Tamandua tetradactyla: one gene and its partner. The protein of the gene in region 1 interacts with the protein of each later gene in a pairwise test. Links are inferred from orthologs where the notes say so. Each region holds a gene or a part of one and is shown in the gene's direction. Other genes may lie near its edges.

What was found.
Region 2: the proteins of GAD1 (region 1) and HAAO interact in a two-hybrid assay, tested with the Homo sapiens proteins (4 studies listed by BioGRID and IntAct). The two-hybrid records come from large-scale screens. The link is inferred for Tamandua tetradactyla from reciprocal best matches to the Homo sapiens genes GAD1 and HAAO.

What each region holds. Positions count from the first base shown.
Region 1 is NC_135329.1:142,413,924-142,429,294, forward strand, and holds the start of GAD1 (glutamate decarboxylase 1), read left to right. Parts: upstream 1-8,168; 5' UTR 8,169-8,200; coding exon 8,201-8,282; intron 8,283-11,515; coding exon 11,516-11,578; intron 11,579-15,371.
Region 2 is NC_135343.1:14,356,290-14,371,718, reverse strand, and holds the start of HAAO (3-hydroxyanthranilate 3,4-dioxygenase), read left to right. Parts: upstream 1-8,456; 5' UTR 8,457-8,517; coding exon 8,518-8,597; intron 8,598-11,131; coding exon 11,132-11,210; intron 11,211-15,335; coding exon 15,336-15,419; intron 15,420-15,429. UniProt on the Homo sapiens protein: Catalyzes the oxidative ring opening of 3-hydroxyanthranilate to 2-amino-3-carboxymuconate semialdehyde, which spontaneously cyclizes to quinolinate.

The sequences.
Region 1 (15,371 bases):
AAGGATCAGGAGTTCAATTTGGTACCCTATCCTTTTCCCCAAACTTCCTTTTTAAAAAAAAAAAAAAAGTTTAAGGTGCCTATTAGAAATCCAAGTGTAGAATTCAGTTGAATCTACCCAACCTGGAATGTTGGGGAGAGGTCTATGGTAAAAATATGTATTGGGAAGTTAACATAGGAACAGTATTGAAAGCCTTTAACCCCTTTCAGATGAGTTTGAATATTCAATTCAAAAATGTTCTCTTCCAGGAAATGAAACTTCTTTGTGGGTCAAAAACCTTCTAAATCACCAAAGAAGAGAGCCCAAAGTCTTTTGTTAGAGAATGATCAGCAGCTCTGCTGAAATATATGGGCAATAAAATAAAACAAACATCATGCTTAGCTTATACATCCAAGAAAAAAAATTTTTAATGTATCAAAATCACTGTTGAACTAAAGGGGAGGAGCAGGAAAGTTTATTGATCCTTCATTGAACACCATAAACCAGACACAGTTGAATTTGCTAAATTGGGCTTTATGAACATCAAATAAGATAGCCTACAAAGATGGTATTAGCCCCCATTTTATTGATGAGGAAAACTTAAGACTGTGAACAGTTAAATGATAGCTGATAAGTAGACTCAAGATTTGAACTCATCTGACTTTAAAGTTGTTGTTTCTCTTCCTGTAACAAGCTGCCTTAAGGACTTCAAGAAGCCCTTGAGTCCATGTCCTTCACAACCTGAGGATGTTCCCCAGTGAGAAGATTCACAAAATATTAATTATTTCAAATGAAACCTCATCTGGTCTCAGCTGGTGCCTAACCCATCCCATTATGGAAGTCCAGAGAGACTAAGTGATTTTTCCAAAGTCAAATGGCTGTTATGTGGTGGGGCTGGGAAGTCTCACTGTGTAGTAGTACTCAAAGCATTACTTACTAAGTATGTGATCTGGGAAGTCCTGTAACGTCTCTGGACTTCAGGTTCCTCATCTGTAAAATAGAAAACCTCAGGGTGGTAATTAAGTGGGAATTCATACAATCAACACAGGGTATATCTTTAGTTACTAAATAACACCCCACATAGCTTCTTTGAGACTTATTTCTCATTTTTGTAATAGAAGGATGACCATTTCTATCACTTGTGGTTTTGGAAAGAGAAAGAGGTCCCTGTGGTAGTGGGTAGTCCTAGCATGGTCTGGAATCCACAAATACATCCTTTACTCAGAATCAGTGTGTCAGCCTGGCGGGATAAAACACAAACCCCTAGTTGATAAGGGGATTGCTGGTGCATTCCTTCCTCTATTATCCCAAGCATATGTAAACATTCACTAGAGACAGTTTGACTCTGGTAGGCATGTTTTACAACATCTGGCTCATACCCCAGTGGTACATTTGTCTCTCACAGGGAGGGAGTGGGGTTCCTTCACTGGGGCAGCATATGAACACAAGAGATGGGTGCTGTGCATGGGACGTCTCCCTGTGTCAGCCATGGATTGACCTGTTGCAATGGGGAACCCATGCCCAATAGCTCTATCTCTTCTCTATGCTCACCAGAACCTGTGTGCATTGTGCTTTTGCTGGCTGTATTGAAGTAGGTTGATATTTCTTTAGGTGTCTCTCCTGACCAACAGTCTCTTAACCTCACCACCACCACCACGCACCAGACTGGGCTCACAGTAAGAAATCCTGGGTAGCCTATCCTAAGACTTTTCCCTGGGTCCTACTTCAGTTCTCTCTTGACCTTGGTATGAGAGAGCATATTCATTAGTGATTGCCTCAATAATGATTCATAACACATCACCCCCAAACTCAGTACCAATTAGCTCCATTCCACTGGCCAAAGAAAATCACATATCTGAGCACCCAACAGCAACAGGTTTGGAGGTGGAGGGAGGTTACACAGTCTTGATCTAGGGAAAGAAAAAAGTTTTAATCATTCAAGCCTCCCATGCTCTGATGTTTGTCCCATGCTCTGATGTTTGTCCCTGACTTTTTCCTGGCTATGAAGTTGACACAATATGCCTCAAGCCCCAGTAAGAAGATTGTAATTCTCATTTAATCCTCACACTTAGGAATTGCTTAAGATTTCAAGTTCTTTGGGTCTTCTATAGGCAAAGAAAACAGGACCTCAGACTTGCAGCTTAGTAGAAAGAATGAGCTCCAGATAACTAACTTTGTTGAGAAAATCCCCTGGAACTGATTTAAAAATGATCCAATTGAGAACTTTGGACCAGAATACATTTCAGTGAGCTCTGACCTAAAAGTTCTTGGTATGAAGGGGATCTGGTTAGAGTGAAAACAATGAATTCCTCCTGTTAAGGCTCCAGTTTTCTCCCCTGCATACTGGCCAGGATTAGGAAAATGTGATCTGAAATAGAAGTTTATCAGATTCCACACAACTGAATCAGAACCCTCTCACAAACAACAGTCTCAGATACCTAACTGAAAATGGAGGCTAAATACCTACTACTGTAAATAGCTCAAGAGCTTTTACACTAAAAGAAATATGGGAAATTATCTTTCTTGTACCCCATTCTAGGAAAAGACTAAGGAGAGGAAAGCAGAAAACACAGTTACATCTTTAAAACTCTGTCAGAATTACAATTCAGATCTGTTATTTCCTTGGTCTCCAGTTTTGCAATGAAACAGCTACTTGTCTGATATTAATCAGACAGCTCACTTCCTAAGGCCACCTTTAAAGATGTGGCTGTGTGGGAAAGAAATGGATGGCAGGCATCCCTTTCTCTTTCCCTGAGGAGACAGAAGACCCTGAGTGTTTCAGGGCACTTCCAGCAGCATCCAGCAGCATTTTTAAAAGGCCCTTCTTTTGTGAAATATGGCTGGGTATGAGTGTGAGCTGGGAAGAACCTGCCTTCCCCTGAAGAACTGCTCACTTGTGGGGCCTGTTTCTTCTTAGAAATTGTAATCCATCGCCACCTGGTGGTCCATTCATTTACGTGTTAGGAATAGCAAGAATTAAGCATATTCAGATTTGCACAAGATTTGCCCAAATACAAATCACTCTGTCCTCCTTGATTAGAACATTTCATCTTCTAAATGTCAAGGGGGGAAGGGATCATTTGGTGATTATCTGAGGAATTCAGTTATCTTTTTTTAGGGGAAATTGTTGTAATTTCCGGAGTCCTTTCCAATGTGCTGGCAGGAACCCTGCCTCCCTGCCACTCTTTTAACCCTTTCCTGTCTCCATAGAGTGAATGTTGCGTGGTCTATCGGGGTAGAGGTGTCGATTTAGCTATAGTCCTCCAAAGAAAGTCCAGAATGATTTGGGGGAACTATCTTTAAAGTACTCAAACACCCTAAATGAACCTTGCTTCCCACTTAAAAAAAAAAAAAAAAGCAGAATGTGAGGTTAAGTAACACTTCCCCCAGCCCTCGTCTCGGGACACAGACGTTTAAATGTGAGCACTGCCATTTTTTTTTCTTTTTTGGTCATAAATTAGAGACTTAAAATAGACCTTAAAGCGCCAGCTGAAATGAACCAACCCAGTAGCTCTAAATTACCTTTTCTGGAGGCTATAAATGCTAAATGCGTTTAAAAAAAAAACAAAACAAGATTGACGTTTCTCATCTACTCACCTTGACATGGACCATATTTTACGCCAAAAAATTCCCCCCGAGCCCGTTTTAGCACGTCTTCACGCCCTTATGCCCCCATGCTCCTTCTACCTCCTCCCCACCCCCCTGTTTTTTTGTAAGAAAGTCTCTGCCCCAAATCCGGTTGAAATATCTTTAAACGTCCCGGGGAAAGGGCATGTGGGCAAAGGGTCATGTTCCCAATTCCCAGCAATCATTGACCTAAAGGAAGGTTGTCCTCGGCGGAGAGGAACTAGCAACCGGGCTGCCGGATAACAAATCCCAACGCTGGGGAGAAACACCGGAGGGGGTTGCATACGGCACCCCGCAACCCCCACCCAACCCAACCCCCACTGCCCTTGCCTCTGGGCGTTCTGTTCTGTTTTCTTCAAAGCGCCAGACCTTAGATCATATGCAAACCAAACAGCTGAGCGGACACCACTCCCTTCCGGCCCACCCCTCACCACCGGACCTGGAGAGGATATCTTTTTTTCCCTGGAGAGGATATCTCTTTTCCACCCTCAATTTTCCCAAACATCCTGCCCCCTCCTCCCCGCCCCCAGGGTAATAAAAATACAAAGAAGAGCCGAAAACAGAAACAATATAAATAAATTTCAAATGTCCTCAAGAGCCGAAAGACAATCACAACCACCTTCAGTCCAGATTCTTACCAGGGGAGGAGAGAAGAGGGAGAGAAACCCCAAACCTGCAAAACAAACAGCTGTTACAGTCGTAGAAGAAGGCTGGGGATAGCGGGGCAGGTAGGCAAAGAACAGATGATGAAAGCGGACGAAAAGGGGACCTTGTGGGCCTGAACGGCGGGCGCTGCCCTTGGTGCTGAAGGAATCGGCCCCTGCTTCCGAACTCAAGAAACGAACTGGGCGATTCCAAGGATCTTGGTCCCTTACCAGCCCCGCTGAGTCCAAGAGTCTGAGTTGGAATGCGAGGCAATTGGAAATTAAATTAACGCCATGAGATCTTGTCTGTCACACTCCTTGCATATCCAAGAGTGCAGCTATAATATAAGCTCTAAGGATAATGTAAATTCCATGAGAATAATGTCTGGCACATAGTAGGTGACTAATAAATACGCGTTTAATTAATTAATTACTAAATTTAAACATTTTTAAACTAAGGAAGAGCTGGAATCTTCTTTCTTCCCTTCTCCACCATAAGAAAGCGAAGGGAGATTGTCCTCGCGGCTGGGTGGACTCAGTTTTAATTTGCGATACCTAATCTTCAGAAGATTTCCTTTTCCCAACAAGATTATTTTCTTGATTAAACGTTAAGAGTAAACATTTTGGACTCTGGGGTCAGAGGAGGGGTGACTGGAAATTTCTCAGTCTGGTGCTACAAGTGAAGTAAACGAATCTTCCTTTCCAAGGAATCTCGCTCCCTGATTGGTGTGACCAATTCGTGCGATCTCTTTCAGCCAAGGCGCGAGGTAGCGACGTGGGGGGAATTCCGAGCTTCACCTGTTTGTAAACCGCGCATTTCAAGTGTCGCGGAAAAGGGCTGGGTGAGCGGTTCGAAGGGACATTTCCTTAGCACAGTCGACACGCCCACCCCTGCCCAGCGCAAAGCTCTGGCTTCCGGGGCTGCGGTTACCGTGCGCCCGCTGTTCAGGACCCGTTTGCCAATAAAGTGTGTCCGCGCTTTTATTGTGAGGTGGAGAGGGCGACAGTATTTTCCTGGATATCAAGGACAACGCGGTTATTTCAAATCTCACAGCGAGATCCCTCTTACTGATCGAACTGCATCTTCCCCCAGCGTTATCTTCGATCTTCCTTATGGAATTTTTCGATGATTTGTAAGATCTTCGGTGTTTCGACTGTGCCTGCTGCACCACATTAAGAAACAAAAAATCACCGTGAAAACGAGTAAAGGAATCAGTGATTACACAGTGTCACCCAAATGCACACACAAATCCACTTTGTTTTGCCCTAAATAAAAAGAAACTCAGGGAAGAGAAAATATCGACTACCGAAGAGGGTGGTTTAAGCTGGGGAGTAATAGCCCAACCAGCCGCTCCAGGTGTTGGTTCCGGCGCAGGAGGAAAAGACACTGCGAGCCCAAGGCCTCCGAGTCTCTGGGCGCCTGGCGCCCTCTGGTGGGAGTTTTTCCCATGAACGTCTTTTAGCAACGAGGGGCTTTAGCGAAACGCGGCATTTCATTAAATGCGTTTATATATTTGCAAAGGGAGAATCCTTAAAGGACGTGAAATCGAAGGGGGAGTCAGGGGAGTCGGCCAGGACAGGGAGGCCCAGTCCGACCTCAGGTGACTCCCCAAGGCCTGTCCCCGGGGCAACCTCTCTGCTCTCATTCCCCTTGTGTCTGGAGTGGCGCTCGTGCGTGTTATTAACCTTCAGACATAATCAATCAGGAGGACTTTTTGCTCCGTGACGCAAGGTAGCTGTGCTCAGATGAGGTACTTTGGAGAGGCCCCGAGTTGAACCAGGAAACGGGAAGGAGAAGGAAATGGAGATGCCTCGTTTGCTTTTACAACAGTCCTGGCTCAACAGAGCGCCAGCGAGGACAGAACCCACCGTGCGTTTTCGTATATGAAGTGTCCTGGAATCCCAGATCTAGGAGAAAGAGATTGAGGCAAAGTCACTCTCTTGTCTCCTCAAAGATATGGGCGGGGGCGGGGGCTAGGGTAGGAAAGGGAGGGAGGGAGAAAGAAAAGCTCAGAGGCAGAATTCTCCGTAGGAATCATCTTTTCCCACCACTCATCCGACACCCTATTTCAAAAATTGGAGCGTGTTGAGTACATTCTGGATTACTCATAGGGTCTTCTTTTTCTGGCGCAAAACCGTGATCTGGGTTTGTAATCGCCCTATAAAGCACCAGAGGCGGTCAGGCACCCGCAAAGAAGCCCCGCCACTCCGCCGACCAGCGGCCCCCGCAAGCAGCGGCCTCGTGATTCCCCCGCTGAGCCGGTCCCCGCCTCCCCCACCCCGCCCCCGCCTCCCCTGAAGCTGAGCAGCCACCTCTCGGAATCTCTCTTCTCTCCTCCTGACGCTCGCGTGCGGGACGGAGCTAGCAAGAGCGAGGCGGCAGCTGGAGGTGTCGCGGGATAGTTAACGCCGGTGGCAGGGCCGAGCCGAGCGGATCGCCGGGCGCTGCTGAGGAGCGGCGGGAGCGCCCGGCTAGTGGCTGCAGGGCTGAAGTGGGTAAGCGTACCGGCGCTTGGATTGCCCAGCGCCCAGCCTCTGTTGTTCAGCTGTGCCCCCTGCGTCCGCAGCTTTTCGGCCAACCCCCCGCCCTTGGGTCTCTGTAGGTGGCATTCTGTCTTCCTCGCGGGATTCGCGCCCTGGCGAAGCATAGAGGCTGAATGAACTTCGCGCTGAAGTGGGACCGGAGCGGTTTCTCCTATGTTCCTCGGCTGAAAGCGCCCACCTAGCCAAATGGTGCCTGGGCAGTAGTAGCTGAAGGCGCGACTCACAGCGGAAACCTGTTACTTCCCCAGCAGCTGCGGTCTGCGGGTCTTTAGCGTTACTGTGGGCTGCGTGCGTGTGCGTGTACGTGTGCGCGCGCGAGCTAGCTGTGAGGCTGGGGGCGAGTGGAGGCGGCGGCTGTAGGCGCTTCTCTGCGGGGTCTTAGGTATACCCAGATTCACCCTCACTCTCTCTGTCCTGGGTCTTTCGGACGCCATCTAACCCGTTCCAGCGCCAGCGCCAGCGCCGCGCGCGGCTTAGGGACGCCGCGCAGCGATCCTTGGTCGCTGTTTATTGCGCGCTGGTCGCAAGTTCATTTCCCCAGTGACGCTCCCCTTTCTTGCTTCCTATAACCTCTCGGGCTTTGTATAGCGAGAAATCTTGGGTCCTTGGCGGAGCTGGGCAATTGGAGAAACACCCAAACAGAGACCGAGCCTCGTCCTAGGCTTCCAGGTGACTCAAAGAGGGGTGGGATCACAGGAAGACAAGCGAGGTCCCGACTCACTGCTTTCTGGCTGTCTGGGGTACAGGATGACTGTGGCCCTTCCCCGGCCAAGTTTGAGGAAGAACATGAATGAATCGACCTCTTATCCTCCTCACCTTATCTCAGCAAAGTCTCCGGTCCCCGGGGCAATTCGCGTTCTTCTTTCCAGGGAATTAGCCAGACACAACAACTGGAACCAGACACAGAGTCAGACGTGCCCTCCCCGTGCGCCCTCCCCCTGCTTGCTCTCTGGTGCTCCGGCTGCTGAGTGCCCAGTGGCGCCTGTCGCTCTCGGCTGGGAAAACGCACACTGAGCCTCCCTTGCTTTCTAGCCCAGTTCCCCGCATCCCTGGGTCCCATGCTGGGCTTGAAACCTCTTAGAGCAGCATTTCCAGGTCTCCTCTCCGCCAAAGTGGAGAGTCGCCCGGGTCTACGTTGCGGGCGCCCCAGTCCCTGAGCTAGCGCGCACGTCTCCCCCCTCCCCCCGGCGCACCCCAGCCCAGCCAGTTGGTTGCCCTTCCTCCCTCCTCTCTCTTCGGCTCCCCGACTCCAAGGAGAGCGTCCGTGCCCCCAGCGGCTTAGCCGTTTCTAGCTCGCGGGACCCCCGAGGCTCTACCAGCACAGCTCTAGCTTCTCATTGCAGCCTGATCCTGCGCACGGCACGCAGAGGACCCTGGACAGCAGAGGCCCCGGGACTACCGAGGTGATGGCGTCTTCGACCCCTTCTTCGTCCGCCGCCGCCTCGAACGCGGGAGCGGATCCCAATACCACCAATCTGCGCCCCACAAGTAGGTCCCGCCCCAGTTTCCTGTCAAATGTACTGCGGGGAAGATGGGGGCGCTGAGCCACGGGGAGCTTCGCCGGCGGAAAGGAAAGGGGGGCGCAAAAATGATGAAGGGAGCTCGGAAATAAATGCGGCCCTGACCCGGAGCCCGGCCAGAGGTCATTCGGCTTCTGGGGGCGCTGGGCACCTCACGGGCGCTCAAGAGACGAAGCCACTCAGGGTCTGGGTACAGGGATCGCTGAGGGCGCCGCGGCCGGGGAAGGGCGCGCGGTGTGAGCCTTGTTTTTGTTGTGTGTGTGGTTTCGTTGCCTTGTGGAACAACCGGGGTCAGCGCTGGGGGAAATGTGAGGGGCGGGGAGCCCCAGCGGGAATAGAGTTTTCTGTCTCCGGCTTTCGTTGAGTCGAGATCTGACCCCCTCCTCCTTTCCCCCTGCGCTGCGCTGAAAGTCTGTAATCAGCGGAAATTTCGACGTTAATTGCAGCTTGTAGAAAACTCAGGGTCCCTAATTGCTCCAAATTTGCGTCGAGCTATTGAGTGAGGGAGAAGCCAGGGGCGGGAAAGGTGCATAAAATGATTTGAGGCTAATGCTCGACATTTCAGACTATTAATTACATCTCTGAGACAGACCAAAAAAAAAAAAAAAAAAAAAAGGAGCGAGCAGCATACTGAATGTGGAGAGGTAGGTTTGGGGGGAGGCGGTAGGAAGGTTTGCCAGGGCGGGCGGAGACTCTCCTATCTCTTGGGCAGAGGAATCCTGTCAGCAGGTGATACGTCCGGAAGAGGGGGAAAGAAGGGAGAAACCAGATAACAGGGGGAAGGATTTATGCTTCCTCACCGCTAGTTCAGCGCGCTTCTCAACTCGTTTCCAGAATCTGCCTTTAATTCAGATTGATTTTCTACCTCTCGGTAGAGGCGTGTGGAGACAAGGGAATTGTTTTTCCTTCTCCATATTGGAATGAAATCCTCTCCCTCCTCAAATCTATCAGCTCCAGAGTGATGACCCCAGAATTTCTATGTAGGAGGGGCTGAGGGACGACACTGGGTTAGAAGGAGGGCTGATTGTAGCTCTTTTGTGGCACTGTCCATCAGCTTGAGAAAACGTCAATTGTCCCCATCAACGAACCGGAGTGTTACGGGCTAAGCCCCCTCTCCAGCCCCTTGCCGTTGCCACTGGTTCCTGGGCAGAAGGCCTTAAGTCCTCAGGCCTCGTTCCAGTTCCCTTTGCAGCTCCCTTTCCCGGGGCGGACTATAATTACTAACCGCACAACAGAGAGGGACGCGGGAGCGCTGCCCAGCCTTGGTGGCACGCGAGTCCGGCACTGAAGGCCAAACTGGCCGGAGCAGGCCCGGAGGAACGCGAGGCTTCCGTGCCTTTTGTCTCTCTGCTCTAGCCTCCTTTTCCTGTGCTCGCTACGTTCCCGCCCCCTTTTTTATTTATTTATTTATTTATTTATTTATTTATTTATTTATTTATTTATTTATTATTTGCTGCCTGGAGAGGCTTGGAGGCCGTTGTGTTCACTCATCCTTGAGCCCTCCCCCTCCGCCCGACGCTTCTACATCCCCACGACCGCCCGTGGCTGGGCGCTTATACCCGGCTTGGGTTCGGAAACCCAGCAGAGGCTCTGACCCGAGTGCGCGGGAGCCCTAGCACAGAACAGAGCCTCTGAGCTGAGGGACGCGTCCAGGGAGAGCAGGCTGCCCCTGTCCCATGGACCACTGCTGCCCGCCCACCCCCTAACAGACCATCCTGGGCGTCGGCGCCCTTTGGTTGCTCGCATATGCCCGGCTCTCCACGCATTCTCACCCTTCCTTGCAGACATACCCTCTGCGCCCAGGCAGCTCTTCTCCACTCCTGCAAGGTCTCCTGAGGTGGCCTTGTTCAGCCCGCACAACTTTACTTGGCTTTTTGCTCAGCAACCCCTGGTTCGGGGATGAAGTCCGCCACTTGGGCTTCCCCCTGCATTAAAGGGGCTCTCTCGCTCCTTGTCCCCATCTGCCTTTCCCTTTTGTTCACTGTAACCCCTAACTCTGAAAGACAGTGCAAGGTGTTTGAACTCTGAATGACCTTGGAAAACTCGCAAAACCTCTCTGAGCTTCAATGATTTTATTTGTAAATTGGTCTTAGATTAACACTCCTCCTGCCAATTTCAGAGGTTTGTTACAAGGATGAGAGGAAATGGTGTTTAAAGTGAAAGCAGTTTATCAGGTAGAAATAGATCTTTTCCCGCACCCATCTGGGATGTCTTACCGACACCGGGCTGTTTCCGCTCCCCTCTGGGGCTCTGTTGTGCCTGGGGTTTAATGAATGTCACTCTCCTTATCGCAGCCAGCACTCGCGCTGGAGGGTCGGGTCTGGGTGGGGTGGGGTGGGGTGAGGTGGGATGGGGGGTAGGGGTCAGAGTGTCGGAGCGTCGGGGATTGAAGAAGATTTCACTCCGCAGGCCCGGGGCAGCTTTCCTCGCTCTTTGTTGGAAGTTAAACCCCAAGGCAGGTAGACTCTCACGGGTTTACAAATAGCCTGGTAAAGAAGAAAAATTGTCTTCGCCTGCTCCAGAGCAGAGATGTCGGAGGGAAGGGTTAATGAGGGGCAGGTTGGGGGAGGGCGACGGGACTGAAGACGGGAGGTGCACCATTGTCTTCCCGCCTCCCTGGTCCGAGTGAAGGGCAGCCATGCGAGCCCGATCATCTAGTCAAATACTATTTTTCACCCAATTAATTCCTGAACTCTTCCGCGACCCCATTTCATGCCAGTTTATTTTAAGCTGCCACTCGGCTGGAGACCCGCCAAGAAATGATGAGACGTTTCGGTCCCAGATGCCTCTGTGTTCCCTTTCCGGGGCCGCTGTGGTAGCCTGCGGGGCCGAGACCAAGGGAACAGGCCTGGCCGGTGGGTGTTGGGCGGGGCCGGGTCGGGTCCTTTCCGCTTGAGGTCAGCCCCTCCCTATCCCACATCGGCGGCTTCCAGCATCCTGGGGCGCTGGGTACGCTGCATCTCAGAAATGCCGTTGTACCTAAAGGTAGGAAGAGGAAGAGGTTGTGAATGGGGCTCGGAGGGCACGAGCTTGCCCGTTTGACTGCAGATTTGGCTTCCCGCTCCTTTCAGGAAGGGGCTTTTAATATGGAACACTAGCGAAGACACCGCCCCCACCCCCGAGAAAACTTTTACCCTCCACCCTGTTCCCCATAGTCCGAGCCTCACTGACAGCACCTCTCTCGCTCTTTATTAATCCTAGCGTATGACACTTGGTGTGGCGTGGCCCATGGATGCACCAGAAAATTGGGACTCAAGATTTGCGGTAAGTCAAAGGGCCCACGGGTGCCTTTCGGCTTGGAAGAGTGGGACGCTCGTGAGGAGTGCGGCTCTTGGGTTTGGTTTTCTAAAGTGCTACAGCCCCGGTGCCTTCACAGGACTTGACCGTCCCGAGTCCTCCCTTTCCTAGGGAGTTCCAACTGCCTGAGACCTTGTTGAGGCATCGCAGGGAGCCGCGTCTGGGCGGAAGAGCGTGAACACAGCGCCCCCGCACGGCAGCCCGGGTCTTCCGGCCCAGAACCTGGGCCTCCCACCCTTGCGCTCTGCGGGCGAGTCCCGCGACCGCCTCGTTGAAAACGTGAGCTGGTCTGACTTTCCTGCAGAGCCGGCCAAAGGCTCGGTATCTGCCTAAGCCACTGGCTGACATGTTGTCCCCTTCTCCCCTCCACCTCACCCCCACCCCCACCCCCCAAGTCTGGGAAAATTGAAAGTGACCTCTCAGGCTTGAGGGTTTTTGACCCAAGATGTTATCACGGATTAAGATTTCGTTTTCGGGGCTTCGGGGATAGGAAAAATAATTGCCTGCTTCCCTCGGTGGCCTAACTGGGAGACGTGCCAATGGCGAAGTCTGGAGGGTTTTCCTGGTGTGCCCTTAAAGACACGGAGGGAAGATAAAGGGGGCAAGTGGGTGTGGGGCCCTGTGTCAGGCACGAATTGCCAGGGTGGAAGGAAAATAGATCTGGGGAGCTGGAAAGGAGAAAGAACTGCTCTCCGAAGACATGAGGGTCTGAAATGAAAATGCGCAAGGGATGTAATTTTTTAAAAAAAAGGAAAGGGAGATTTATTCGAAGGGACACAGCTGAGTGGCTCCAGCTGAACAATGAGCGCTTGCTTTCCTTGGTACATTTCACAGTCTAAAATTGTCTAGCCTTATCGGGCCAGAAAATACGGATGTCCCTGGGCAGGGGGTGGAGAGGCGGGGGTGGAGGAGATTAACGAGGGGCTTATTAAAGAGCCATTCGTCTGCTGCTGCTCGGGAGATAACAGAGGAGTCCGCCCCGGGCACGCATCGAGGGTCTCACACCGCCCAGCACAGCGCCCGCGAGCCGGTCGGCAAATGGGTGCTCTCTGGGCCTGTTCTTCCCAGCTCCCTGGGGCCCCAAGGGCGGTCGGCGACAGTTTGGATTTCGATCAAAGGAGTTATTTAGCAGCCTCCGGAATCCACTTCCCCACCCGTTTTGCTTCGCCAAGCTCCTGAATTTCAGGCTCTATCCCCTTGACCCTGGGAACCAGCATCTACCCCGAGGAAATGCCCACTTTGGGACCTAGCTATTTTTCCAGGGAAGGCCCTGCCTTGTCTCTGGCCGGCCCCAGGGTTTGGCCCTCGCCCCAGCACTGGAGGCCCGCGGGACGAGGCTGGGGCCGCGTTCCGGAGCTGGGGCAGCTGGCGGCAGTCGCTCTTTGTTCTATAAATAGCCCTCTCCCCCCAGCCGCCATTCGTGGCTTAATGGTCCGTTTCGCGCCAGGTCCCCGCTCAGCTTCTGCAGCCGTCATTGTCGTGCAGCCGGACAAGCAGAACTGAGTGAGCCAAGCCCAGGCGCCCGCGGAATCTGAGGGCCGGGTAGGAGGAGCTGCCCTTCCGCTGGCGTTTCAAGCTGTGAAGGGTTCAGTCCCTGCCTGTCCGGGGTGCTGCCCTTCATCTACCCCCATGCCCACCTCCTGGCTTTTGCGGGTGGGGCTGTAACCCCTGCTTCTGCCTCGGGTCCGCGGGAAAAGGTCTGAGAGCCCCTTCTGGGGACACACCCGACATGCCCTGTAAAGTTAAGGGGGCAGGAAAGAGTTGAGCATCTCTGGGTCCGAGAATAGGGGGCCCGAACGTGGCGTTAATTTCCCATCCCTCGCTACCAATCATAAGAAAGAGCTCTTGAGCACATGGGAGCTTTCATCCTTAAAGAATTTCTTCTCTGCTCCTTTTTTCTCCCACCTCCTCATAAGTACACTGTCATTTCAGAATAGCTGAATCCCATGTGACAGGAAAAGGCAAGATAGGTCTGTTGAGTGGAAATTGTCTTCTGTTAAAATACACTATATTTGGGACCACAAGCTAGGAGGCTTTGCTTTGATTCTGGGAAAGAGAGAAAACGAAACAAAACTCCAGGAGGATTTATTTTCCACACACTGGGCTAACTCTGACTTTACATTTTAACCTAGTGGAGGTAAAATACAGTCCTTGGTTTTGACTCTGGATCTTCAGCCTTCTCCCTCCACACACACCACTCCCCTCATCACAAACCTTTATTGGCTGGGAGCGTGCCCTCTTGACCCACCACTGTCATTGGTTTGATATTTCTCCTTTACATAGCAGAGGGACAGATGGTCCTCTTTCCACTCCCAAACTCACTGCCTAGGGTAACCCCTGTAAGCATCCTCATGCCCTGCCATGATACACTACCCCCTCCTGCCCCCACTCTCCTTCTTAGCCTCCTTTCCCCAAGCCAAGCAGTGAGGCTGCAAGGAAGGCCCTGATTCCCATCAGTGGTACTCTTGGTTCTGGGGGGAAAAATTCCCCTGGGAGAGTGATCAGCTAAAAGAAATCCAGGGTCTTGCCAAGAGCTGGAGAGTGTGGCTACAGGCATGGTGGCATGACCTAAATAGAAAGAGACATAGGGAGCCCTAAGTTCTAGCCCTGGGCTCTATCGACTAACTTCCCATGTGCCTCCATCACTTATCTATGCAGAGGTCCTAAATTAGCTGCCAGATAGTCCCTGAGCTGTTTTATTTAGTCCATACAGGGTATGTTTTGTTTTGTCTTAATTTGTATTAGTTGCTAACTTTGGAAGATAGAGAGATTTCAAATATGTATTTCTGGCTTCCCTTGCAGAAAAAAGAAAGCAATGGCGGGGGGGGGGGGGGGGGAGTGATCCAGCAGGGTGTTATTAGCGCATAAAAATCAGAAAAAGAGCCCCTTTCTCCAGACAGACGAAGTTCTGTGCCAGCCACACAGCTTGATGGGCAGAGCATGGGCTGGGCTTCAGCCTCCACTTGTCCCCTTGGCCTTGTGCCTAATGCCCCATGCAACTTGCAGCTCTCTGTGGAAACAGCTGGCTGGAATGGAGGACTGGCTGCTTCCTCTAGGAATGTTCATGCTCTCTAGTTCCTCTACCCCCTTGCTACCCCCCACTCACTGAGCCCTCCAGACGTTTGAGTCTGAAGGCAGGGGAATGAACCAGCAGCAGCCACACCTTCTCAGCCCAGAGGCACAATCACCTCAGGGTTCACCTCCTGTGGTCTCCTGGTAGCCAGCCTGAGTGTTAAAAACCAACCAAACACAACTACAGCTTCTGCTTTCCTCCACTTTCCTCTTTGCCTCTAAGAATTTTGAGCTTGGTTATCCATTGCCTACAAGCTTAAACTAAGTAGAATTATCCATTCTACCTAGGTCATCCACCGCTTCTAATCCTTGGAGAATTATCCTTATCCTTCCTGAGCCTCTCAGAATAAGGGCCTGGGTCACTTCCTCTTTAGAGGCTTCCGATATTTTTTAAAACAAATACCTTCCAAAATGGAGTGAAAGCAATGACAATATACATTAAATGTTTACATTAGCAAATTGATGGTCTTTAACACAAATTATAATGCAATGGAATTATGATATTCATAATTACAATATTTGTGGAAAATGTTGATTCATAGTGCAGTACAGGAGGTATAGTCCAGGATTGATTTGCAGTTGTATGATAATTGTCCTTTCAACCCTATGATGGCATCTCTGAGAGTGCCTGTCTCAGCACCTCTTTTAAAGTTAATATGCAAAACCTGAGAGGTCTTGGTCCCTGCAG
Region 2 (15,429 bases), on another chromosome or scaffold:
CACAAAAAAACAAAAGAAAAAAGTCCTTTTACAGCAGGACCCCCATTCCTCGGATCTGCCAATCAAGAGCTTGTGTTAATAGGTTGCTCTGTATATTTTCAGGTCCTATGTGCCCCTTCCTTTCCTTCAGGGCCCAGACCCTTTCAGGTATTTTGTCCTGTCCGATCCAAAAAAAAGTCTTTTTTTTTTCTTTTTTTTCCATCTGCCCTGCCCCCTCTGGGCCAGGGGAAAAACAGCAACCTCAGCTTTTAGTCAAGGTTCAGCTGAGCTGGGGGCCTATTTTCAGTAGTCAGAATTTGTGAACTAATTTCACACTTGAAGCCTGGTTGCACTCAGCCCCTGCTGCTGGGAAAGTCCCTTTCCTTTCCCCTCTGGGAAGCACCCTGTGGGGGAGGGGCGCCTGCTGCCACAGCTTGGGGAACTCACGGTTCTGGGGGGGCTCACAGCCGGTCCAGCTGGTCCAGACTGGGGTACGCTGTGTGTCCGGTCACTGACATGGCCCCAGCAGTTGTTCTGTACTGTTCTTGGCTATTTAGTAGCTGCTCTGGAGGACAAACTAAATCCCACACCGCGCTGAGCTGCCATATTGGCCGCCTCCTAGCCTTGAGTCTTGAAGATGGTTGTATAACGATATAGCTTTGACAGTGTGCCTGTGTGATTGTGAACACCAGGGCATGGACAGATGAGTAAAAAAATATGGGTAAAAAATAAATAATAAGGGGGATAAGGGGTAAAATCAATTGGGTAGATTGAAATACTTGGTCAATGTGTGGGAGAGATAAGGGGTATGAGATATATGGGTTTTTTCTTTTTTCTTTCTTATTTCATTTTCTGGTGTGATGCAAATGTTCTGAAAAATGATCATGGTGATGAATACACAACTATGTGATGATATTGTGAGCCACTGATTGTACACCATGTATGGACTATATGTGTGTGAAGATTTGTTGATAAAAATATATTTTTCTATTGAAAAAAAAATGGCAGGGTGAGCACATGCTGCAATCTTTCCCTTCTGCACCAAATCCAATGAATGAAAGGCTTAAAAATAAATACATAGCTGTACTAGAACATGAGGAAAAATCTCAATAGACCAAGAACTGTAAGAAACTAAGGAACTGAAACTGCAAGGAATGACTAAAAGAGGGCAAGATTAGATTGAAGAAAAAGACTTCTGCCCAGAATGCACAGGGGAACCAAGAGGAGAGCCCCCCAAGGAGGATGGGAGCATCGGTGAGGGTGCCCACACCCACGGAGGATGAAGATGTGAAAGGGGATCCAGGGACAGCTGCTAGGGTGGCTAGTTAGAGCACTGAAGCCAGAGCAGGGAGGTCACACTGTGTGTGACCCCCACACTGTCCCCTTCATGGTCCAGCAACTGTGTTGGGGTGTTGGGAGGAAGCAGTGAATGTAGAGCAGAGAGACAGAGAAACACCCGGTTGGGAGCACCCAGGAGAAGCTGGGAGTGCCCAAGCCCAGAAGGCCAGCTGCCGAGAAGCCCTACTTGGTGGCAGATTTTGCCTGTCACCACTCCCTCTGAAAACAGCACAGAGTGCAACCCTTGCCTCTTTTCCTAAGAGGGCTGTGCAAGTAGCAGCAACAAATAGTCTAAGAGAGAATATCAACTTAAAGATGGCTTTGCACAAGTGTCATTAAACTTTTAAACGTTTGAGGAAGAGAGAGAGACAAGAGATGAAAGATATACCTGGGGGAGCCGAAGATTAAAAAAACAACCAGAACAGGACTACGTGGCAAATTTGGCAAGTTGTTCACCAAACCTATTTCACTTTCCTCTTGGGAACATAGCTGGACCTTTCCCAGACTCCTTTGAAGTTTGGGGAGACTAAAGGAAAGGGGGCAGAAGCGATGCACACCACTTCTGCACAGGCCTGGCCCATAAGAACTGTCACTCTCTCTTTTCCCCTTTCTGCCAGCTGGAAGCGACGTGATGGAGGAGTCAGGATTCTCCGTCAGCTTCGGTCCCATCGGGTCCCTAAATGGCTGTGTGGAGCACCGCCACGGCCCCATTGGACTATATGAAAATAATAAACTTCCGTTATGTTAAACCTCTGAGTCTGGCATGTTTCTCCCCCCGTTATAGCAGCTAGGGTAACCTTCACTAGTATAGACTTTACACTTTCAAACAGATAATTTCCCTGAAGAAATAAAGAAGATTATCACATCCATGAACCAAAGCCAAGTGTGAAACAGAACCAACGAGAAGTTTTGTAAATAAAAACATGAAACCATTGAAATTTGAAACTTAGGAGATGGACTGACTAGTAGAACAAGAAGATGGAAGATTAGGTAATATATTGTCAGAATGCAAAACAATAGGGGATGGGAAAACAGGAAAAAAAAGGAGTTAAATGACATGAAGATGAAAAATTTCCGACATTCATCCACAGAATTCCAGAAGTTGATAACAGAATAGATAAGAAATGATGTTTAAAAAAAAAAAAGTCAAGAAGTTCTTGAAGAAAGACATACACACAATAATGAATCCAGGAAAAAGTAATGGGATGCAAGAAACAATCAAAAACAAATACATTAGTAAAATATATAATGACATCTAGATATTGCTTGTATAAAAACTTTAAATAATAACCCAAATAATAGCAACATGGAAGTTCCTGACAGGGAATTCCAGAAGGAAATTAAAGCTTGCTCAAGCTCCTTTGCTCTTCTTTACAGAAGGGGTGGACACACGTGCTGATTAACAACAGACATTATCAGAAATCTACAGTTCCAATGTATGCATTTATTTAAAGAATAACCACCAAACACATGGGAATAGGTTGTGGAGGGGCCAACTGGATCAAAGAAAACTTATAAACCAGGGGTGGTGTATGTTGCTAGCTGCCCCCCAAGTGTCATATCCATTTCCCAGTCGCAGTTTTGTTTGAGCATCCCACCCCTCGCTGACCTAACCTCAGATTTGGGAGGACGCTGACCCCACCCCAGCTACAAGGGTAAACTAGGCTAAGCCAACGAGTCTCCTGCCCCCTCTCAGGCCAGTAGTTGGGTTCAGGTGTGGGCATGGGAGCCACCTGTGGGCAGTAACACAGAGGGGAGGGCTGCAGGCATCACTGCCCCCCAGGGGACACTCGGTGATGTGTGCAGGCTGGAGGTGGATGAGTGTGATGCCATTGGCATCCAGTGGGTAGAGGCCAGGGGTGCCAAACATCCTACAATGCACAGTAGCCCTCCACAATAAAGAACGTTCTGACCCAAAATGTCAAGAGTGTTAAGACTGAGGAGCCCTGGTTTAAGGGAAAGCTATGGGTGGTCAGTTCCCCCCCCACTGGATATGAATAAGGAAGCCAATAGCCTTGGTGACCACTGGAGACTCCCCCTGACCATTCAGGGATCCAGCTGTGCCAGTTTGAAACTGTTGTGTGGCCCAGAAAAGCCGTCTTCTTTGATCTTCATTCAACATTGTTGGGAGGGAATCTTTTTTTTTAACTTTTTTTCTTAATTGACAAGCCAAAACAACATACAAACATGAAGCTTCTTAACAAACATCCCATATATGGTATACAATCAATGGCTCACAATATCATCACATAGTAGTATATTCATCACCATGATCATTTTTTAGAACATTTGCATCACTCCAGAAAAAGAAATAAAAAGAAAAAAGAAAAATTCACACATACCAGACCCCTTACCCCTCTCTCTCACTGACCACTAGTATTTCAATCTACTCAATCTGTCTTAACATTTGTTCCCCTTATTATTTATTTATTTTTAATACATATTTTTTACTCATCTGCCCATACTGTAGATAAAAGGAGCAACAGACACAAGGTTTTCACACTCACACAGTCACATTGCAAAAGCAATGTCATTATACATTCATCATCAAGAAACATGGCTACTGGAACACAGCTCTACAGTTTCAGGCACTTCCCTCTACCCTCTCTAACACACCTTAAACTAAAAAGGGGATATCTATAATATTAGGAATTCTCCAAATGGGGAAGTTGAATTTCCAACTGACATGACATGAAGTCGGTTGATGAGATGGTTTCCATGAAGATGCGTCTCCACCCATTCAAGGTGGGTCACTTACTGGACGCCTTTAAGGGCGAACCATTTTGGAAACAGCTCAGCGCTAACACCAGATTCAGATGTTTGATGATGCAGAAAGAAAAAGTCCCCAGGGAAGGTGTTTGAAACTAGAAGCCAAAGGACTAACAGATGTCAGCCACATGCCTTCCCAGTTGACAGAAGTGTTCTGGACCCATGGGCCTTTCTTGAGTCAGGTTATCTTTCCCTGGATGCCTTATCTTTCCCTTGAACACTATTATGGCCTTAGATCTGTAAACTTGTAAATTCCCTTTTTAAAAGCCATTGCTGGAATTGTATTCCAGCAGCCTTAACAAACTAAAACACCAGCCCTGGGGTAAAGGGAACACTGAGAGAGCAGACTGGAGGGATGAAAAGAAGCAGATTCCAGAATGACACTTACTATTGGTTAAGCCATGCTTTGAGCTGGGGGTTCTGTTACTTACAGCCACAAGTATCCTGATAGAGTAGAAAAGAGAGAAAGAAAGAGAGAAGAAAAAAAGAAAAAACAAGGAGAATACATGTGTGGTTGACAGAATAATGTCCTATCCCCAAAGATCTCCAGGTCCCGATACCCGGAATCTATGAATATGTTACCTTACATGATAAAAGGGACTGTGCAGATGTGATTAAATAAATGAGTTTGAGATGGGGAGAATATTAGGTTATTTGGCTGGGTCAAATGTAATCACAAGGGCTCCTGCAATGGAAAGGTGGAGGTGAGCGAGTCAGAGAAAGAGGAGATGTGACGACAAGAGCAGAGGTTGGAGTTATGTGCCTTGCGATGGGGGAAAGGGCCACAAGCCAGAGGAATGGAGATGGCCTCTAGAAGCTGGAAAAGTCAGGGAAACAGACGGTCCCCTACCACACCTAGGAAAAAATTACAGCTTTGCCTATACTTTGGTTTTAGCCTATAAAATCCAATTTGGATTGCTAACCCCCAGAAGTACAGGATGTATTGTTTTAAGCCACTGTTTGTGGTAATTTGTTACAGCAGCGCAACATGGTAACTGGAAAACCCAAAATAAGACGTCAGGAAGAAGTACAAACATACCAATAATTAGACAAATATGGGGGAGTGAGGTGCTAGGGTAGTTCAGTGGTAGAATTCTCACCTGCCATGTAGGAGACCTGGGTTCAATTTCCGGTCCGTGCACCTCCCCTCCACCAAAAAAAACAAGCAAAAATTCAACAAATGGTGCTGCAATAATGGGATACTCACATGGAAAAATGAAATGTGACCCCACCATACAGCATACCAAAAAAATAATAATAATTAAACAAGTATGAAACAGATGAATCTACCTATAAAATGACAGGCTTTCAGATTGGATTTTAAAACTCCACCTCTGTGCCATTCTTGAGAGGTAAAACAACACAGGAAGATTCTGGCTACACCTGCTGTCTCAATCATCTATTGCAGTGTAGCACACCGCCCCAAAATGTAGCGCCTCAAAGTAACAATGATTTTATTCGCTTATGATTCTGCAGGTCAGCAATTAGACCTGAGCTCCGCAGGGCAGGTCACCTGCTGGTTGCACCCCAATTTCCGCCCCCCGCCCCTCCTCTCCCCCCACCCCACAGGACACAGGCACTCACAGGTGTCTCACAGCTCAACTGGGATGAGGGTGGGAGACAGTCTTACAACGCTGGAGCTGGCCGCTGGCTGCTCTCTCTCTGCACGTGGTCTCTCACCCCAGGAAGGGCAGCCGCAGCTTCTGCACCTGGTGAGGGCCACAGCTGCCAGGCCTCCTGCAGGCTAGACCCACAACAGCATTTCTGCCCCCTGCTGTTGTTCAAAGCAAGTCACAACGCCCACCGTACTCAAAGGGGTGGGGACACGTGCTCCCCTGCTGATGGGAGGGGGGCAGGGCCACACAGCAAAGAGATGGATTCAGAGAGGGAAGGAATTACCGTGACATCTTTTCAATCAACATACCATACCTGGAAAACACTGACAACCAGAGCAGTGTAGCCATATTCACATCAGACAAAGTTGTAATCAAAAACTTTGTAATCAAAGTTGAAAAAAATACTAAGAGGAACTATTTCTTAGCTATAAAAGAAACATTATAGCAAGAAGATGTAACAGTTATGAAACTTTTAACATCTAAAAACATAGATTTTTAGCTTATGTACCAAAAAAACAAAAAACAAAAAAATCAACAAATTGTGCTATGATAACGGAATATTCACACGGACAAGAGTGAAATATGACCCCCTACTGCACAGCATACAAAAAAAAAATACATAAAGCAAAATCAATTCAAATTGTAAGGAGAAAATAACCAAAAATTACAGCAGGAGACTTTAACATACCTCTCTCAGAAACCAAAATATTAAACAGTTAAAAAAATAAAAAAGGATAAAGTAACATAATAGTTTGATCTCATAGGAGTATTTAGAACTACATACCCCACAAGCAGAGAACATACATTATTTTCACAGGTACGTGGAACATTCACAAAAAAGTACCATAGGAGAGATGCAAGGTAAATCTAAGCATATCCTTCCACCACCCCCCAAAAATAATATGTAGGCTATTTTTACTCACTACAATGCAGTAAAATTCTAAATGAAAACCAAGATGATAGCTAAAAAAAAAATGACAAAAAACCACTCATACATCTAGAAATTTTAAAAATTTCTTGCTGTCTCTTTTAACTCAAGAGTTGACAACTCTTGAGACAGCAAGACCAGAACCCAGATTTCCAAAGAACCAGTTATAGTTCATGATCTAGCCCTTTTATTCATAGAAAGATATTTTTCTTAAATATTTGGTGCATTTTCTGAAACAGTGACAAAGTGGAGGACACAAGGAGGGAGAGACAGATAGAGACAAACCAACGTGGACTGAGAAAGGAACTGGCTGGAGCAGAAATGTCCCCAGGACTATGGGTCGAGCCAGCCTCTAGCCTGGCCCAGCAGGGATTGAAGGGATCAGATGGTTATCAGGTTCAGCAAAGGGAGAGGCCTCCACCCACGCCTCCCCAGCTGGGGGGTTGGGGGGTTGGGGGGTTGGGGGGTGATGGTGGTGGTGCAGGACAGACACCATCAAGCAGGACAGGCCCTGATGAGCCCCCCTCCTAGGGCAGGCAGTGCTTCCTGACTCCGTGGTGTGACTGAGCAGCGGGGAGGGGGGCTAAAGGGAGCAGGTGAAGTCCAGAGGCCAAAAAGGAGCTAAAGGTCAAAATCCAGAAGGATTCCAGATGGCTGTGACTAAACAATGTCAGGACACCTGATCAAAGGAGAGTGGTCCCTTTTCTGAGCGTTAAAGCCAAACGGCGCAGCACGTTGGAGCTGGGCAGTCTGCCAGCTGAGTTTGTGAGGTCTTGTCTACACAGCACAAACCGGGGAGCCTATTCGACTGTAATTGTGCAGCAGCAGTTTAGGCAGTGTAGAAATCAATCTGAATAATCCCGACCTCCCAACTTCTGCTTTGCAGCATCAATTATCTTGCTATTTAGTTATAAAGTAACCACCATCCTTCCCTTTGTACTATGGAAGAGGACATCTGCTGGGCTGAAATCATTTCCCCTCTTTTAGTGTGAATGCATGCACCCATGGGGTGGGCTTCTGCCCTCGGAGCTGCCAAGGGGCTTTCCGAGACCGGGAGGAGGGGGCAGGAGGGCATCCCAGTGCTAAAAGACAAAGCCCGCGGAAGCCATCGCCCCCTCCGAGGGTCGTGGTGTCGCCTGGGCGTGCTCCTGAGACACGCGAAGCGCTCACGACAGCGCCCGGCGCCGCGGCCCCCGCTCGCCCCCACGCTGCAGCCCGACCACCGCGCCCCGCTCGGCTCCGGCTCCGCGGCACAGCGCACCCCAGGCTCGGGCAAAGGGAGGGAGGTGGGGGCCCCCCGCAGCCCCGCCGCGCGTCCCCTGCCGAGCGCTGCCTGTCCCGGGCCAGCGGCTCTCAGCAGCGCTGCGGCCTCTCTGGCCCGACCTCGGCCCTCGCGAGGGGACAAGGCGCGGACATCAACGGGGCGCCCGCTTGGCACCCGCTCTTCCCCGCCCGCGCCCCACCCTGGGGGACGGCTGCGGAGGGGTTTTTGTAACTATTTTTCCTGTACGGAACTGAAACTTAAGCCCGGAGCCGCCACCCGCGGGCTCGGAGGCGCGGGGTCCCCACCCCGCGTCGTCTCCGCTCCACGATGTCCCCGGGGCCGCCCCCCCGGGGGCCGGGAGGAGAGTCAGGCGACGAGCCGCCAGGCAGGGTCGGGACACCCGAGCGACTCCCGGGCTGCGAGGCGGCGCGGGCGGGGGCGCCCCTTCGAGGCCCAGAGGCAGGGCGGAGGCGGCGGCCGGGGCTGGGGCCGGGGCCGGGCCGGGGGCGCCGACCCCGGGGCTGCTCGGGCCCCGGCGGCCAATCGGCGGGGGGGCGGCGCCGCGCTCCTCCCACGCCGGGACAGGAGAAGGGTCCGGGCGGGCCGCGGCGCCGCGGGCGACCATGGAGGGGCCGGTGCGAGTGAAGACTTGGGTGGAGGAGAACCGGGCGTCCTTCTTGCCCCCCGTGTGCAACAAGCTGCTGTGAGTCCCCGACCGCATCCGTCTCCGCGCCGTCTCCGCCGCCTTGTCCCCCCCGTCTGCTCCTGTCACCCCTCACCCTCCAGCCCCAAATTCCTTTGACCCAGAAGCTGCAGCAAGGGGCTATCACTGCCCTGGACTCTGCATGCTGTTCCGGGTCCCAGCTCTCTGTCTGTTCCTCTTTCTGGCGTGGAGGGCTGGGACCTTGTCTAATGCCCAGGGCTGGTTCGCCCCCCGAGACGGTGGGAAATGGAGATGGCAGGGCTGCCGCGCTCCCCCCGGGACCCACAAACAGTTCTCCAACCCCCACTAACTCTTCGCCGCTTCGGGAACGCTCAAAGGTTTGGGGAGGGTGCTTTTAGATGCCCCAGAATTGCAGTGGAACCCAGGATGAAGTCAGAGGACCCGCTCCTTTGGGGGCGATCTTAGTTTATTTCCCTTTCCTGGGCCCTCTTTGCAGGCACACACACCCATTCCCACGAGACTTTCCCTGAGCTCCCCCTGCCTGTGGCACCCGACAGGGCTGACAGCAGGCGCTGCCATCTCTCGAGCAGACCTCTCAGGCCGGGCTCCCTTTGGCCCCATCACCTCCCTTCTCTTCCGGCAGGTGCGCCCCCACCTCCTGGCTCGTGCTCCCCATGTTTGCAGAGTCTGCAGGACAGGTCCAAAGGGTGGAGGCTCAAAACAGATAAAATCCCTCCCTCCTGCAGCTGATATTCTAATGGGAGGAGGCAGCCAATAAATAGAAATAAACAAGGGGTGCAGGCAAAGGCAGGCAGACCTTGCAGCCACAGAGGTCGGAGAAGCTGCTGGAAGTTTTGACAGTTCTTGAGTGGGCTTGTTCAAGAACTTTCCACATATACCTAAATTATATCTCAGTAAAGTTGATCAACAAAAGAAGGACCTTCTGAGCTCACTGGTGCCTCCTAGCCAAGTCCAAAAACCTTAGCTGGCTCCTGAGGCCTGGGGCGACCTGGTCCCACCTCCCCATCGTTCCTTAAGATACCTCCAAACCACCAGGGCCCCCAGTGCTTCCAGTTTCAGTGCCTTTGTGTCCTGCTTTCCCCTCCACTCCCTTCTCCATGTTCCTTCCCACTTCTCTCCACTCCTGGCAACCTTACACAGCTTTAAGCCCAGCTCAGAAACACACATGTCAGCTTCCTCATGCCCCATGACCTGTCCTTTCACATTCTGGCGCGTGATTCTGGGTGTGTGCTTCTCATTTATTAGGTTCTGCCTTCCAAAAGGGAAGGGAAAGAAAAGAGACCACATCTTCCTTCCTGTCCCCCTCCCTATCACAGCAGGCAAACAGTGCTGAGGGGTAAGGAGAGGGCACTCGGCAAAGATTTACCAGTCTAGGTTTGGGGTCTCAGATGCCCCCTCACAGCCCACCCCTGCTGCCACACAGCATCATCATCAGCGCAGGCAGCCTCTACACAAAATTGGCAGTGGCACCTGTGTGCAAAGGGCCCTGCCTACCCTGCTCCCAGCACTTCCCCTTCTCCCAGCAAAGTCTTTGCCCTGGTATCTGTAATATGGCCATGAGACAAGGCCCTGGAACCCAAATGGGCTTATTAGGTTCAGTGCCCACACCCTGAGATGACACCCTGCTGGGGGGCAGGTGCTGGCTCTCATATACATGTCTTTCCCTATAAAAGGTGACACCACACCCACAGCAGGCAGGCTTTGGCACTTGGGCACCCTTCAAGTTCCAAACAGCAGTGCCCCGTGGCCAGGACACCTGGGCCCTGGCTCGTTCTATGATTTCCTGGCTGTGTGACCCTCTCTTGGCTTGTTTCCTTGGCAGTAAAATGAGAGGGTGGCACTTACCATAGGCCAGGAACTGTTCTGCACTCTCACAAATAGTAATTCATGTCATCTAGGTGAACTCTTTGAAGTAAGGACCCCATTTTACAGATGATGAGACTGAGGCTTAGCAAGGTCAAGTAATGTGCCCAAGCTCAGTGGCAGAGACAAATCTGAGCCAGGAGGCTGGCTCCGGGCCTGTGTTTTTAAACCCCATGCCAGGCTGATTGGATAATGTCTGAAGCCTCTGCTGAATGTCACAGACCCGTGAGTCCCCTGAGGGGGGCCTGGCAGTTTGGGGAGAGGGAAGGTGCTTATAAGGAGACAGCTGGGGGGTTGGTAAAAGTCCCGGGAAGAGGAGGCCTCAACTCACTCTCCTGTCATTGTAGATCCACCACCAAGGCTGCTCCCCCTTCTGGGTCAGAGGTCAGAGGTCAGAGGCTAGGCAGACAATGTGGGGACCACACACATACACACAGAGGGACAGGCATTCAAAGACAGACAGACAGACAGACACACACATCCACCCAAACACACATCCAGAAAGACACAGACACAGGCAGACACACACAGATGCACATGTGCACACTGGGGTTGAGAGTGCAGGGAGACAAGGTGTTGGGAGACCCAGCAGGGACAGTGATGCAGAACTGTCGCGGTTACCTGCAACCTTCTCCCAGGTGTCCTGGGCCCCAAACAGGGGTCAGGACCGCCCCCCTTGTCCATTACAGGCATCAGGAGCAGCTCAAGATCATGTTTGTTGGGGGCCCCAACACCAGGAAGGACTTCCACATCGAGGAGGGGGAGGAGGTAAGCCCGAGGACTGCCCCGCCCCTGACCCAGCCCCCTGGGCAGGGAGTGCTGTCCCTGGGTGGGGGTAAGGGGGGTGGCGCTTCTTCTGCAAGAGCCAGAGCTTTGGATGGGAAAGGGATGTGGACAGATGGCTGACGTGAGGGGCAGGGGAAGGGACCACAACTGAAATCATAGGGGGGAGTCTGCGGCCCTCCTGGTGGGAGGCGCTCCACAGTGACCCCTTTGACAGCCCTGTCCTCTGAGAAGTCGGAGCCAGTGGGCTCTACGTGGGGGTCCCTGGGAAACAGCCGGGGATCCCTGCTGGGTCAGAGGTCAGAGGTCAGTGGTCAGAGGCTGGGCAGACAATGTGGGGGCCACACACACACACACACAGAGGGACAGGCATTCAAAGACAGACACACACACACATACATCCACCCAGACACACACCCCAGTCCCAGGGGTTCGGTGCGCCAGGTGGAACGCCCAGGTCTCCCCACTGCCCCCAGTGTACAAGGGCAGCCTCCCAAAAGCAGGGGGGATGGTAGCGGGCTGGTGGGGGAGGGGAGGGGGCGTGTCCCCTGTGGTCTCAGGAGCCAGGCTGTCAGCAGCTTCCTTGCTCACAGGCAGGAGGCCAAATCCAGGAAGGGAGGTGGGGAGTGGGGGGAGGCCGGGGTGACCAGGGGGCCGGGGTGGGTGAGGGGGACGTGGAGGGGGCGGCTGGGCTGGGAGGCCCCCTCCTCACCTGTAGGCCTTAACTAGCACCCAGGGCACCTCAGTTGACAGGAGCTGTGAGGCTGGGCAGACGGGTGGGGGGAGGGGAACTGTGCTGAATACCATTTTGTACCTTGAATTTTGAACTGTTTCTGTATTACTTACCCAAAAGTAAATAAAAAAATGTAGAATTAAAAGCAAAAAGCTGGGCCGCCCTTAAGGAGGGCGGGAGGCGGATTGCAGCTCTCAGAATCTCTGGTGGAGAAGAGTCCCTCAGGGGGCCTCCTGCCTGCCATCCTGCAGAACCCCCCACCCCCAGATTCTGGAGTTCACAGTCTGTCTTGGTCACCGGCCTCAGCTCCCACCACTGGCAGCTTGGCCACAGCTGGGATGGGAGGGAGCACAGCTATTTGGTCCTCATCAGGAATTCCCTGAGCACCTTTTTATGTTCTGGGGTGCAGGGGGACGTGCATGGGGCTGGGGGAAGCAGTGTTGGCAGAGCAGGACCACCCACTCCTCGCCTCCCGCAGGGTTGCTCCTGGGGGTGCTGCCTCCAGGGCCCCCCACCTCTCCCGGGCCACCCCTGTCCCACAGACACACCTCTGTGGAGCCCATTCTCCTGTGCGGAAAGAATCAGCAGGACAATCCCGAATTACAAAGACGGGGCCACAGTCGGGGGTGGGGGGGGTGGGTGGGGTGGGGAGGACCAGCAGCAAGGTCCCCCAGCCCGCCTCGCTCAGCCGCAGCCACTGCCCCGTCCTCCAGAGGCCCTGTCCTTAGCTGTTCTCAGAATCCAGCTCTCCTTGCCCGCACCCCCTGCCCCCTGCCCCACCTTGCAGGCTCCCCAGGGGCTCGGAGGGGTGGGGGTGGACTGGGAGGCACGTGGTGTCTGACCTCAGGTGGCCCTGACCCCATCCCTGGCTCGCAGCTCCAGCACCGCCCTCTGCACATGGCCACTGACCTACCTCTTCCCTCGGGGTGTCAGAGGCCGTGGGTTAGAGTCTGCCTGGTCCTGCAATCTTAAGCAAATCGTGTCACCTCTCTGAGCCTATTTCCCTGTGGCACATGGGGACAGCCCTGCCTGTTGGGAGGGAGTGCATTTGGGGTATGGGGGTGCTATCTGCACCCGGGGCAGGGTAGGTGCTGAATACACCTCAGTTCCCTGCACCCTTACTCACTCCCTGCCTCGCCTGCCAGCAAAGCCAGATGCAATGCAATATTTGTCTGAGCCGGCACATTTAATCTTCTAGCTTGCCCCAGGCCCAAAACATCATTTATTTCCAAACGGAGAATAATTCCTTTCGGATTGCCCTCAGCTGTTTGAGATTATCTTCTGTTCTGTGATCTGCACCCCTGCTCCCGGCCCAGCCTGCCTCTCATCGCTGCAAAGGCTGTTGGGCAGGGAGATGAGAGAGGACAACTCTGCTTCTTTCTTTTATTTTTATTTGATGAGCACTAATACCTTGAAACCTGCCCAGCAAAAGTTGGGATCTGGCACAGCAGTCACTCGGGTCTGTCCCCTCCTTTTCTCTGGTGTGTGCAGGGCCTCAGGCCTGTGGCCCCTTCCTAGGGACTATGTGGGCTCCTGCTCCCTCCCCCCATTGTGATAGCAATCCAACACACACACACACACACACATGCACACACAGGCGGGCGCGCAGGCTTCCCCCCAGCTGGGGAGGCGAGAGGTGTACCAAATGGCTCCCTTAGGGAGCCTGGTAGGTTTTTATCTTTTTTGTTTCAAATAAGGTCTATGGGTTGTTTTTAATAATAAAAGCAAATACAGTTCATCGTAGAAAACATGAGAAATTTTAAAAAGAGAGACATATACCTTGTCCGTCACCCACCACTGCGGGGAGCTCCTCGGAGCAGCTGGCCCGCGTTTCTGCACAATTGAAGTCCTGCTGGGTATAATTTTTGAATCTCACTTTAACCTGATAACTTCAGCATCTTCCATTTTCCCATTTTCTTCACAGTTATTCAAAAACATGGTTTTTAATGGCTGGACGATGGTCCTTATTTTGAATCTACTGTAAAATATTTACATTTCCCCTATTATTAGATTTTTTTATTTTTAGTTTTTGCTATTCCTCCCCTGACTTACAGTAACAGAGGCCGGCTGAGCGTCCCCTGTGGGCTGGGCACCCCGCCGACCTCCAGGCAGCTTCACAGCCCCCTCTGGATAGCGACTGTCATTTTGGGGAGAAAGAAACGGAGGAACAGAGAGGCCCAGTGAAGCGGCCGAGGTCCCACAGCCCCCAGCCGAGCGGAGGGCCGGTCTCCTGGGCTGGAGGCCATGCTCTCAACTGCCATCCCTGCCGGGGCAGCCCGTGTGTCACCACCAGGAACGTTGTGATTGCCTGAGATAGAACAGGTTGGGGGCGGGGGGCGGGGGGGCTGGGAGTACAGGCAGCCCAGCGTCCTCATTTGCCTGGACCACCCCACATGAACCCCCAAAGTCCTGCAGCCCCGGAACCCCCCGTGGTGCAGGTGAACCAGGCGGCTGGTCAAGGGGCAGGTGCCAATCTGTGCCCCATGGCAGACTTTACAACCACATTTCTCTGGAGTCCTCGAACTCAGGCCTGATTTCTCTTAGTGGATGCTCTGATAAGAACCTCCATCCCCTCTAATTCCTACTGTGATAAAAAATAATAATAATATCCTTTAGCTGGTTGGTGGGGGCTTTTAACGTGGGGCTGGTAGAGGGACAGGAATCTGCCCCTTCTTCCCCCCTGCTTGTGGGGTGATTAGGAAAGGGAAAAGTGCAGTAGGAGAGAGCAGGAGGGGAGAGGCCCCCTGCCCTGCAGCCCACCCCATGTCTCCCGCCTTGTTGAATCCACCACTTAGCGCTGTGACCTCCAGGGGATCTGAGAGGTGCCCTCCCCCCGTCCCCAACCTCCCCCAGGCCGGGCCATCTCCCCAGGCAGACTCCAGAGTCACAGGCCAGCTCGGGTCCAAACTGCGGCTCCAGCACTCACGAGCTATGTGACCTTGGGCAAGGTGCTTTGCTCTCTAAACCTCAGTTTTTGGATTTCCCTACAAAGTGGTGCTAATACCTTTGGCGATTGTTGTAACAATTTTGGATAATGTACACGGAAGTGGTGCCACAGCTCCTGGCACACGACAGGACCCCTAGTAAACAGGTGGTCCCCTTACCTGGGTGACGGGTCACCAGTGAGCGCCCCACCCGGCCCCCTGCCCCAGCCGGTACTCTGATCACCCCTTGGGTGTTTGAGATGGGGTCCCCATGTGTCCCCAGCACTCCTGTCTGTGGTCTGCATCAGGGGACACTGGGGCAGAAGCTGTTCATAAACTGCGAGGCCTTTGGGAAGTTTCTCAAGTTTCCCAGTCAGAACTCAGGGCCTGGGCAGTGGACAAGGCCCTGGGGGAGGGGCTGGGGGAGATCCGAGCCTCCCTGCTGTCCCGCAGGTGTTTTACCAGCTGGAGGGTGACATGGTTCTCCGCGTCCTAGAACGAGGGACCCACCGGGATGTGGTCATTCGGCAGGGAGAGGTGAGGCGGG